3 linked regions of the Cricetulus griseus genome follow. The protein of the gene in region 3 purifies or fractionates together with the protein of the main gene of each other region. This does not show direct contact. Links are inferred from orthologs where the notes say so. Each region holds a gene or a part of one and is shown on either strand. Other genes may lie near its edges.

Region 1 (3,652 bases), on a different chromosome or scaffold from region 3:
TTTCTGGCTGCAGCTACCTCCTTGTTGAAATTTTCTTATGATCTTCCTGCTGCTTATGTGGTCATGAATAGGTTGACCCCCTAAATCTAAGCTTCCCAAGTGTTTGAAAACTAAGCAGGTGTCCACACCTGTGGTACCTTGCGTACTCCTAGCTGAGGACTTCTCCACTGGATACTGCAGAGGTATTACAATGCCTTGATCTGGCTTCTGAAATGCTGAAATCAGATTCTTTATTTTCCGGAAAAATCTTTTGTGTACCCCAGGTGCTGTCTGGAAAATAAAAGATGAAAAAAGTATTCATTTGCCTCATGATGCTAAAAAAAAAAAGAAAGAAAAAGACCTATAACATGTGAGAGGGATGCTCAGAGAGGTAACATTTGTGTAACTTGCTCAAATATTTGAAAACATAAGGAAGAAATGAAAACAACATCCAGAAGAGCTTACTTTGCTTGGCTGAATTTCCTTGCAAGAGGAGCTAATGAGCTGTCATTGCAGTTCTCCCAAGGGTAGTACTAGTTTGTACAAGCTCTTTCTCACAGCCCTGCCCTTCCTGACTGCTACCCGTCATACATCCTGAACCTCTAAGGATGTACAGGCCATTACCCACAATGAATTCAGCAACAGAGGGGATGAAGTTAAACATAAAAAAAATGTATAGATCCTACAGGTCATTAACAAAAAAGCCTGAGAAATCAAAACAACAACCAACAACATGTCCCCCATCCTCATTTTATAATATCAAATATTACACAGGAAATTTAAAAAGTGACTGTTACGATACACACAACTGCATGGCTGGCCGATGCATATACTATTTTACGTCATAATACATACTGAATCATCCTTCATGTTAATTTTGTGTTCTTTGCCCAAATTGTTTGCATAGTCAGCCCTGCACCATGACAAGGTTTCCTCTATGACATGTAAATGAAAGACTATACAAGTTTATCTTTATTTATGTATTTGTTCATTTTTAAAGAGATCAAATTTGCAGGTGGCTGTTAAGAATGTATTCTTTCCTTGACATCTGTGCTCTCACAAGGACACTGCCTGAAATCAACATTCCCCACAAAGCTTATGAGCTGTGCTTTAGGCACCCGCTCAAAACTGTCATTTTACAGAAAATAAAATAGTATTGCTACGAGCAATTGAACAATGACTAGTTTTGCTTCTTTCTAGTTTTTTTTTTTTTAGAAAGTTGTTTTTCAGCTATTCCATCTGGAAGATTTTTGAGATGGGAACTGCTTGGTTTTTAGCATTTAAGGAGAAAATATGAGGCTGGCACACAGACTTCTGTCAACTGGACTTTAAACTCGAGATAACTGACTATCCAAAGTTACTCTTGGTCATTGCCTACTTTGGAGTGAGTAGGGAGTTTTCCAATATAAACACATGGTAGATGTTCTCTTTAGCTGTAATTTAGTGTTCATCTATCCAGTGTCAACGGACAGAAAATGGTCTCCTACCCATCCCTATTCTTATGATCAGAAGACCTAATTTTCTGCTGAGGCTTCATCTAAAAATAACATGGCCATTCTCGCAGAGACCCAAATAACTCTTTGGCTTCAAGACAGAGGCTGCAAATTACAAAGGCGTGCAAATGGCTACAAAATACCTCCTTACTTCTTCCTTAGGGCATTTTTTGATTTTTCAAAACACTTTCCCATCTCTTGCGTTCACTATTTCCTCGTGAATTGGAAGATATTGATTCTTCCAATTATTCTCATTTCACAGATATAAACATGTAACCTAATCATCTTGCATTGAAGTAAATTAATAAGCAGGTTGAGGTCACACATAAATCAGAAGCAGCAGAATTGTCTCTGCATTCCTTTCAGATTAAGACTAGACCAAGTAGTTTCGAGTGAAGCTGAGGTCACCTGCCAGAAGAGAGACTGCATATTTCCCCAGAGGGGAATCATTTGAAACCACACTTCATTTAGGCTGTTTCTTGTGGCTTATACATGTATTTTCAACAAAGGCATCATTTCTATGGAGACTGATAGTTAACACTTGATTATCAATGCTGACAGAGAAGACAATTACCACTGGACATAGAGAAGTAATTTGAACTTGAGATGCAGCATTTCTTTAGCAAATGACTGACCTAATTTATGATGCTTTGCTTAGGCTAATAAGTAATTCACTTACTAGCTAAGAATCTCCTGGTGACCAACTACCCAGAAAAGCCCAAAAGCACAGAAATTGGCAGAGAGGGAGAGAACAGTACACTTTTGACAATGAATTGCTGACAATCTATACTTAATAAATGATAATCAACAATTCATCATAACTTTAGCCTCCAGGAACTAAGTTAATGTCCTCAGTAATGTTCTACTTAAAATGAAATTTTCTGAATATTTTCTTTCATAATCCAATAGATTCAAAGTTCAATTTAATATCACATCTCTAAAACATGTCTTAAACTTACCTAAGGACAGAGGCTAGAATGTTCCTGACATGACCTTTTCTTATGGTATGTCAAACTAAAATGCTTTTCCTGAAAGTAGTACATAAGCCACTTACCACATTTTGGAAAGACATTTATCACACACACAAAAAAGCATCATGGCTACTATCCTGTCAGTGAATTCAGTTCTTGTTCAAATTTGAGCATTTCCCATACTGCCATCACTTAATTATCCATGGAAACACGTTTTGAATCACAGCTGATCTTCAGTACACTCTGGAGAACTTTCTTCCAGCCAGGTGATTTGAGCTCTGAGAATTGTGCACTACTTTAATATTCACCTTAACAAGAAGGCAAATTTTGTAGACAGAAAAAATGCAATATGCATTTCATGAAACAAAGATGTTTTTACCTATTTCCCATTTGGGGATAACCCAAGACAATCTTCTGCTCTCATGGTGCAAATAATTACAATATTATTATATAAGGAGGGTCAAATCAGATAATAGGATAAGGAATATTTATGCTCAATAGACCCTCCTCTGAAAATGTTTACAAATATGTAATGATGTGCTATGATGTTACATGCGAAATGGAAGAAAATGAATTATAAAATGTGTCTAAGAATCCATATCACATCCCTTCCTCCCAAGGCTCAAGGATCATTGAGGAAGAGAAGTGAAAAGAGTATAAAGCAGTGGAAAATTACAAGGAAACAATGTATTCCAGACACAGCAGGACAGCTTCACATATGAACTCACAGTGGTTATGTCAACACGCACAAGACCTGTGCAACCTAAGCCAGATCAAATCCAAGCATGAAGAGAGGAGGTGTGTACAAATTCCCACTTCTGGCAAGGAGCTGCTGGCAATTGATAGCTACCAGGAGAAGAAAAGCCAACTTTCTTTAAAAGAATAGCCCCTGGTAAATCAATCATGCTTCTGAGGAAGGCCACACATCCAAGAATATTTGGACAGCACAAATTGAGAAGACAGATTTATCAAAACAAAGAGTACACAAAATTTCCTGGATTGGGAGAGAGGAACAGATCTTGGAGGACAAGGGTAAATAAGATCAAAACATATTATACAAAATTCTCAAAGAACTAATTTTTTAAATCGCAAAAATATCAAAGATTTTTTCCATAAAAATATTTGTATTGCTCAGCTGAAGGGTATTGTTTGAGGGAAGAGGATTATTTGTGACCAACCCATACATAAATTTACATATATCAGGTACAT
Region 2 (3,652 bases), about 1.6 Mb from region 3:
ATTAGAACAATGAACTTCCAGCATTCTCACACAAGAAAACATGGACAGACCCGAAGATCATTTTGTTGCGTGAAGTTTATTAGATTCAGAAGGACAAACCACATTTTTCTCATATGTAAGATCCAGATTTAAATTTATATGTATAAATACATATGTATGGAGGACATGAAAATTCAGAAACCCGGACTATGAGACAGGAGCAAGAGGTCTAAAGTGGAAGGAAGGCAATGAAATATAGGCAGAAGGCGGTCTCTTTGGGGATAGGAGTGTCACGGCAAGGTGCAAAGGATGGGGCAGTACAGGGGAAGGTCAAGAAAGAAGAGCATATTGGTCACAGAGATCGCATGCACCTGTAACCCCAGCACATAGGAGGCTGAGGCATAAAGTTAGAGTTTGAGGTTAACTTGGGCTAGACTCAGATTCTGTCTCAAAAAAAAAAAAAGAAACAAAAACAAAAAAAAAGACCCCCAAAGTGTAATGATTTATAGATATAAAAAGGTCAGAATAAAACCCATTTCTCTGTATGCTAATAAAAAATAATAATAAAATAAATATTATTATCACATTTATCAAAAGGCAGAGCTGACAAAGTGATTGCTGTATATACAGACTTGGGGAAAATCAGGAAAAACCGAGGCCAGAGGAATGCCTGGCAGGAAGTCAACCTTTGAAGAGATGGGGCTAGGTCAAACGAGAGGGAAAGGGAACATTGGTGGGTCACAGCCCTCATCAGGACCAAGACCTCCACAGCTGGAGGACATGTTTGCTTCTTCAGCATCCTTAGACCTTGATTCCTCTGCTCAGACGCCAGCTCCACCTGGGACAACCAGGCTCAACAGAGGGTCCAGGTTAGTGTGTGTGAACCACTCAACCACACCAGAGAGGGCGGTTTGCCAAAAGTCACAGAACACAGGTTGGGGACTCTGAAGTTACTACAGAGTATTGTTTCCTTTCTATGAAGCTGCCCTTCCCTTTGTCCTGTTAGATGTTGTCAGCCAGGATGCAATGGCAATGCCTGGATTCCGGCTGTCCAATTCCAAGATAGGAGAGTAACAGGTGACGGTGGCTTTGGAGCTTCTTGTGAGTGTGCCAGGAGTCAGACATGTGGGAAGGGACTTCTCCAAGGCTTCAGTTGAGAAGATCCTGCTACCCAGGTCAGGAGGGTCTCAGAGGCCCTCTAGAAGTTGGCATTTTAGATAGACACTTGCAGAGGTGGTGGCCGCTGAGAGCTCTGCCATCTCAGCCCTCCCTTAGCTTGTTTTGTCCTATGTCCTTGTCTTCAAGGCAAGATATCCACATAGTCCTCGTTAGTGTTCTCTGGGGAAAAGCAAAGGACAGCCATGAGATGCCACACCCAGAAGTCCCACCAGCCATCCCAACTCGAGGAAAAGGACACCAGGCACAAAGCAGTGCTGATGCCACATCAAAGAGACATCTTCAAAGGCTGCAGTGGCACTAGGGACTTGCTTGGACAAATAGGGTTTGTTTGTTTTTTGTTTGTTTTTGCTTTTTGATAAGTGGATCCTTAGTTTCTAGTACTCAGTGTCTACCTTCACCAGTGAAAATCCCATGCCTTCGTCAGAGTAGCTCTGCATGGAGCTGGTTCTGAGGAGGCAAGAGGAAGGGAAGGCATTTCCCCTTTGGTAGCTAAGTACGTGGAGCACACTCTACCAAGTCTGACTATGCTTGGAAAATTGGTGTGGCCAGACCCATGTCCAGTTCTTGGGAAAGACCTCTCCCAAGCCCATTCTCTTCCAGGGATTTAGTAGCCTTTCATTATACCTCAGACAAAAGTATTACCATCCCAGCCACTCCCAGCAACTCATCTTGATTTGCACAAGTGTCTGGCTTTGACACCTTTATGCTTTCTTCCCCTTAATACCTTTGGGTGTGTGTGTGTGCATGCATGTATATAGGTATGTATGCAGGTGTATCTACACAAGGGTGCCTGTGTGTGGTCAGAGGTTAGCCTGACATGTTGTTCTTCAGGCTCCATCTACTCTATTTTTTGAAACAAGGTCTTCCTCTGGCTTGGAGCTCACCAGGTGTGATGGTCAGGAAGCCCCATGGATCTACCTGTGTCTGTTTCTTCAGCACTGAGATTACAAGCATGTGCCACGTTGTACAGATTTTCAAAGCCATCATTTCTAGGGATCCAACTTAGGGCCTCACACAAGCAAGGCAAGCACTTTACCAACCGGGCTATTTCTCCAGCCCTTTCAGACTTCCTAATTCTGTAAGTTTTGATGGAAAAGAGCAGTGCGGCTATATCTGTGGCTGGACTTAAACGAAATTATCAGATTGTATTGTCCACACAATCCCCTGAATGATGATGAATGGCTGGAAGTAATGTTAGGGGGGCAAGGTTTTATTTTAGTCATTAAAATCTCACGCTTTATCTTTTTAGAGAAATGAGAAGCTTACCACGGCAGCCGAAAAAAGGGACTTTGCTCAGGCAGAATAGCATGGATGCTGGCAGGCTCCCTGAGAGCTCGTGCCCTCTCATCTTTCTCCCTAGTTAGTAGATCTGCTGTCATCACCATTGCCACCCACAGACAACTGCAATCCCTCTCACACAAAATGAAACCACACATTTCATCATGAGCGATTGGGTGGGACCAGAAACGTCTCTGCATGTCTGTGTTTAATTCAAAATTTGCCGCAATGGGCAGATGATGAAGATGAGGGTAAGCTCGAAATATGATCTGAGAGTGCTGTGAACAGACTTTCCTCACACGTGCTGACCCCCACCCCCACCCCACCCCGCCGTGTCTCGGTGGCTTCATACCTTTAGGGATATATATATATATGAAATAATTTGTCCCTGATCATTTTATAAATGAATGCTTAGCAAAGATTGAACAAAATGTAATAGGATAAGCCTTGGTGGGTGATTTGACATGAGTCTTTTCAGTGAAAACCTGCCCACATGTGCATTTATTACCATGGTGGACTGCGCATGCCCACAGAATGAAACCCAAGTCAGCTTTTTGGTCAGGACCTTTCCTTGCCTTCCTGGTTGTCCTAGCACAGACAACTCTATGTCTTGGCCACTTGCAGGGGCTAGGAGATATTGTTTCTCAGTACAGTAGAAATTGCACTTAGCAAGATGAAGCTCTTTAATGTCCTAGACCAAGTCAGCAATTTCCATCAACTCTACAGAGTAGAGCTGGACGCAGGCTTCGGGGTCCCTCCTGACCCTTTGTCAGGGCTCTTACCATAAACATTCATCTCTAACTTCATCCTTCTCCCTCTTGGGCAGAAGCCGCTTCTCATCATTGGGTTTGAAAGGTGAATCACCAGACCTTGACCTGGCTTTTCATACTTGGAGACTAATTCTTCTAGGTTCGGAAAGATCTGTTTTGGAGCACCTTCCACAGTCTGCAAAGACATAAGAAAGGTCACTGCGCAGCTGTGGTTAAAATGTGACACTTCTTGCAACAGTGGTTTTGAGGGCTGCCCGAGAGACAAGCGAAAAGTAAGACGCTAGCAGCTCAGGCCTAGGGCTCTTACCAACAGCATTTCATAGAGGTTCCTCATTCTGAAGAGGAACCTTGTGCCCAAACAACTCTGTATAAAGGGGGCTTTTACTTAAAAGTTCCCCAGTCACTGTGCTGAGTGAGCCCCATCCTTGGCAATTTGTCTGGACTGG
Region 3 (4,122 bases):
TTTTCAAATGAAAGCATTGCTACATAGGCACTCAGAAGTCAAAAAGTGAGGAATTTTGTTTTATTCAAAGTTTAAATGTATGCTAATAGGAAAAACACTAGTAAAGCAACAGATGGTCATGTCCCTGCCTCTGTTTGAGATTTTGTGTTTGATTTCAATTTTTAAAGTATTGATTCAGAGTAACCTAAATCTTAAAAAAAAAAAAAGATTATATAAAGTAAAAATATCTGGGAAATGGTATACTGTTATAAAGGGTTGTAGGCTTCCTTTAAACTAACAAACAAAATTGTGACTCAGAATTTCTATAATTATGGAGAGTGACATAGGATTTCTGTTGCCCAGCCCTTTCCTTCCTCGTTGCTCTCTGTAGCATGATAAATAAAAGACCCAGAGACTGGTATTGGGGTTCAAGCTTCAAGCTGAAGATCAGAAAAGCAAAGCAGCCAACCCCTGCTTTGTTCTTTTTGTTGTTAAGAGGTGGCTCTTACCTCTACATCAGAATGGGAGGCCATCCTGTCTCCAGCAAACCTCAGACTGCAATCCCAGACTGCTATGCTCTCCTCAGCATGGCTGGAGAATCCTGATACTCACTACTGAAGACCCTGGTCCTATCTTTTATACCTCTCTAGTGCTGGGATTAAAGGTGTGAGCTCTGTTACTCTTTTAGACTGATTCAATCTCTTGTAGCCCTGGGTGGCCTTGAACTCAGAGAGATCCATCTGCCTTTGTCTTCTGAGTCCTGGGATTAAAACTGTGTACCACCACTGCCTGATCTCTATAGCTTGAGGCTGACTTTGCCTTCTGAATCCTCAGGCAAGCGTTAATAAGTCATAAATAATATATCACCACAGCTCTCAACATCTCTTGAGTTATTTTGATTAATATAACTGATTCTTATTTGAGTGTTGAATACTCAAACTATATCTGTTCATCCTCCCAGGTCTCAAACATGGAGGGAGTTTCTAGCCACACTGCTAACTCTGGGATGGAGAATAAAAAAAGGATAGTTTAGCTACTGCCCCACCCCCCAAGAAACAAGAACAAACAATGCTTATTTAAAGAGCCATGAAGAAACAAAGGGCAGCAGTGAGTGTTAAGCAATAATTCAACCGTCCCTACTTCCTCTCAAAATATCCTTCCTCCTCATTCCAATGTCCCAACCTTTTCTTTTTCCTTCAGAGTAGTATAAAGTATTATTTTAATCCCTTCAACAAAGGTTGTTTGTTTGGGGGGGAGAGAGGGAGAGAGAGAGAGAGAGAGAGAGAGAGAGAGAGAGAGAGAGAGAGAGAATTACGTGCCATGTACATGCAGGTACATATGTGGGAACCTTCATGAACACCTTATTTTTTAAGACAGGTTCTCTAATTGAACCTGGAGTCCACTGATTCAGCTACACTGGCTGGCCAATGAGCTTTCAGGGATCTGCCTATCTCTCCCCCAACACCCTCCCCCCACATGGTGCCCGAGTTACAGATGTGTGCTAAAGATCTAAATTTAAGTCCTTGTGCTTACAAAGCAATTGCTTGACAGACTGACTCATCCCTCCAGCCTCTTATTTATTTTGTATTTAAGAAACAATACAGTGGTCAGGATATGCCAGCCCACAGATATTAGCTTCTTTAGCTCTCGTGACACTTTTTTATTCATTAATTTGTTTATCTTACATCCCCATTGCAGCTTCCCCCCTCTCCTCACACCCATTCCTCCACTTGCCCCCCACCTCCACTTCACTCCACCCCTCCTCCATAGTCTCTCAGAAAGGGCAGGCCTACCATGGGCATCAGCAAAGCATCTCATGACACTTTTAAGAGGTCAGTGTTATTACTAATGTCACTGTAAAACTGAGGGAACTGAGGCATGAAGGGGTTCTAACTTTTCCTAGGACTGATGGCTAGTATTCCATAATACCAGCAGTCACATCCAGGAAGTCATGTTCTTAAACAGCAGGTCAACAGTGACTTAGAAAGGGGCAGGCCAAGGATGTTCCTCAAGACAAGACTTCCTGAGGGTCTCTTAATTCTCCTCAAAATGGAGGGATCTGTCATATAATCTAGTCCTCAAAGTAGCTCAAAATGACAGCTCTGCTTAGTTTCATTTCCCAGGCAGGATTCTGAAACTTAGCTGGTTCAGTACATTCTTAGATGTCTAGCTAGTCAGCCGTGAAGGGAGCAGGCAAAAGCACCTTGGCCGAAGTACTGTCATTTTGACTTCAGACTCTATTTTACCTGCAGGGTAAAATGAAGTTCAAGCTCCCAAGCCTTAGGGGAGCTGAGATCTTTCCAATGGCTGACAGACCTCCTCCTTAAGTAACAGAAATAGTCTGTTATGTCCCTTAGTTATCTAATACATTATGGCTGTTCCTAACAACAAAAAGAACAAATGAATTTGATTGGTTGGACTGAGAAACTCCCATTTTGTGTCAGTTGACCTTGATGGAACACACAAGGAAAGTCCCTAATCTTTGGCTTCTAATTGTGAAAATTGTATCTGTAACTTGGCAACAAATGTTTATGATTTTTGTGTCTATGAACCCTGCTTGTGCACCTGCTTGGTGCTGTCAGGAGAAACCAGGATCCCGAGTCCTCGTCCGGCAGCCCTGATTGATCAGTGACCCCACTTAAGGGGTGATTTATTAAAGCCTTTGAAACCCATAAGTGTCTCTCTCCTTCCTGTGGATCATAATGGACTGGTTGTAACAAGCAATACAGCCTGGCATGGATTATGTTTCTTGATCTGCAGTTCAGGGCACTGTTGTTATGTTGTAGGTCCCCATTCTATAGATTTATGTGGATTTTCTTTGAAAACAAAGCAGATATCCCAGTAAAGGAAGCTACAATGTGCTGACTGTCCCTTCTTATTAATCAGTTTAAACTTTGACCAAGACCCAAAGGCCGGTGAAAAGTTCTCTCTGACCCTCGTTTTTAGTTTTTCTGTTGGATTTCCTCTCCTGTTGTTTGTTTTATTTCATATTTCTATTGCTAAATAGAGACAGTGATTATACCCATAGCAAGAAAGGGTATTTGTGCTTATTCTCCACCCCACCCCCAACCCCAAGAACTACTTAAAAACCATCCACTGGTTATAGGAGAAACATTAGTGATGAAAACAAGACTCCGCATTAAAGTAGGCAGTGTTTCGGGAAGGGGGACTGACAGAGATCAATATACATATTTGAGACCATAGTAATGTCATCTGACACAAAAAGAAAACACGAGTGGGCTGTTTTAACACTGGTGGTCAGGCGTTGGAACATAGTCCACGAATGAAGCTGTGTGAGGAGCATTATTAGTGCTTGTGAGAAAACAGAACAAGAGTCCCATGATCTCAGTCTCCAAAGCACAGGATTGTTCTTGGAATGTACTCTTGTGCCCCTCCTAGGTGTAGCAAATGAGAGAGGATTTGCTTCAGATTCCCCATTGCATTTACTGTTGTTCTCCATCCAGACACAGTTTGTCCTTGTGATTATATATAGCTTGAACTTGTGTACTTTGCTTGTATGATGATCTTGCTTAAGGCTCAGAATAAAAATGATCTGAGGCCAGGTGGTGGTGGTGCATGCCTTTAATCCCAGCAGAAGCAGGCAGGTCTCTGTGAGTTCAAGACCAGCCTGGTCTACAGAGCAAGTTCCAGGACAGGTTCGGAAGCTACACAGAGAAACCCTGTCTCCAACAAAACGAAAAGAAAAAAATTATCTGAGGCTCTAAATAAAGTTAACTAACTATTGCATGAGACTTTAGTCCGCCTCATTCTTAGGCTCCATTCTCCCAGCTCCCAATGCTTTTAGAGTGGGAGGGGTTAGAGACAAGACCTACATAAGGTGAAGGTGTGCTGGAGAACAGAGCAGATACGTGCTCTGAGGTGAAGCGCCCTGGCCTATAGGGCTGTCTTGCCTGCCCAGGTTCCCCCTCCTCTTCCTCTCTCTCTCCAGAAATCCCATCTATACCTCCTGCCTAGCTTTATTACACCAATCACAGCAACACGTCCTCACACCGTAGGGGTCCAATATGGCCTCAGCATCACTGCGTAGTCATAGGGAAGGGCCATGCAATCTTTAAAATGTACATTGGTCATGATCAACACCAGGAATAATTCACTGTAGTTTCACTTTGATATTTAACACAG

The links.
Region 1: the proteins of Cd84 (region 3) and Sh2d1a purify together in Homo sapiens (affinity purification with western blotting; 4 studies listed by BioGRID and IntAct, with this or other methods). This does not show direct contact. The link is inferred for Cricetulus griseus from reciprocal best matches to the Homo sapiens genes CD84 and SH2D1A.
Region 2: the proteins of Cd84 (region 3) and Sh2d1b purify together in Homo sapiens (affinity purification with western blotting; 3 studies listed by BioGRID and IntAct, with this or other methods). This does not show direct contact. The link is inferred for Cricetulus griseus from reciprocal best matches to the Homo sapiens genes CD84 and SH2D1B.

What each region holds. Positions count from the first base shown.
Region 1 is NC_048604.1:25,494,326-25,497,977, forward strand, and holds part of Sh2d1a (SH2 domain-containing protein 1A), read right to left. Parts: intron 271-3,652; coding exon 129-270; intron 1-128.
Region 2 is NC_048598.1:22,545,470-22,549,121, forward strand, and holds the end of Sh2d1b (SH2 domain-containing protein 1B), read right to left. Parts: intron 3,382-3,652; coding exon 3,219-3,381; intron 1,318-3,218; coding exon 1,280-1,317; 3' UTR 58-1,279; downstream 1-57. UniProt on the Homo sapiens protein: Cytoplasmic adapter regulating receptors of the signaling lymphocytic activation molecule (SLAM) family such as CD84, SLAMF1, LY9 and CD244. In SLAM signaling seems to cooperate with SH2D1A/SAP.
Region 3 is NC_048598.1:20,956,803-20,960,924, reverse strand, and holds the start of Cd84 (SLAM family member 5), read left to right. Parts: upstream 1-1,299; coding exon 1,300-1,311; intron 1,312-4,122. UniProt on the Homo sapiens protein: Self-ligand receptor of the signaling lymphocytic activation molecule (SLAM) family.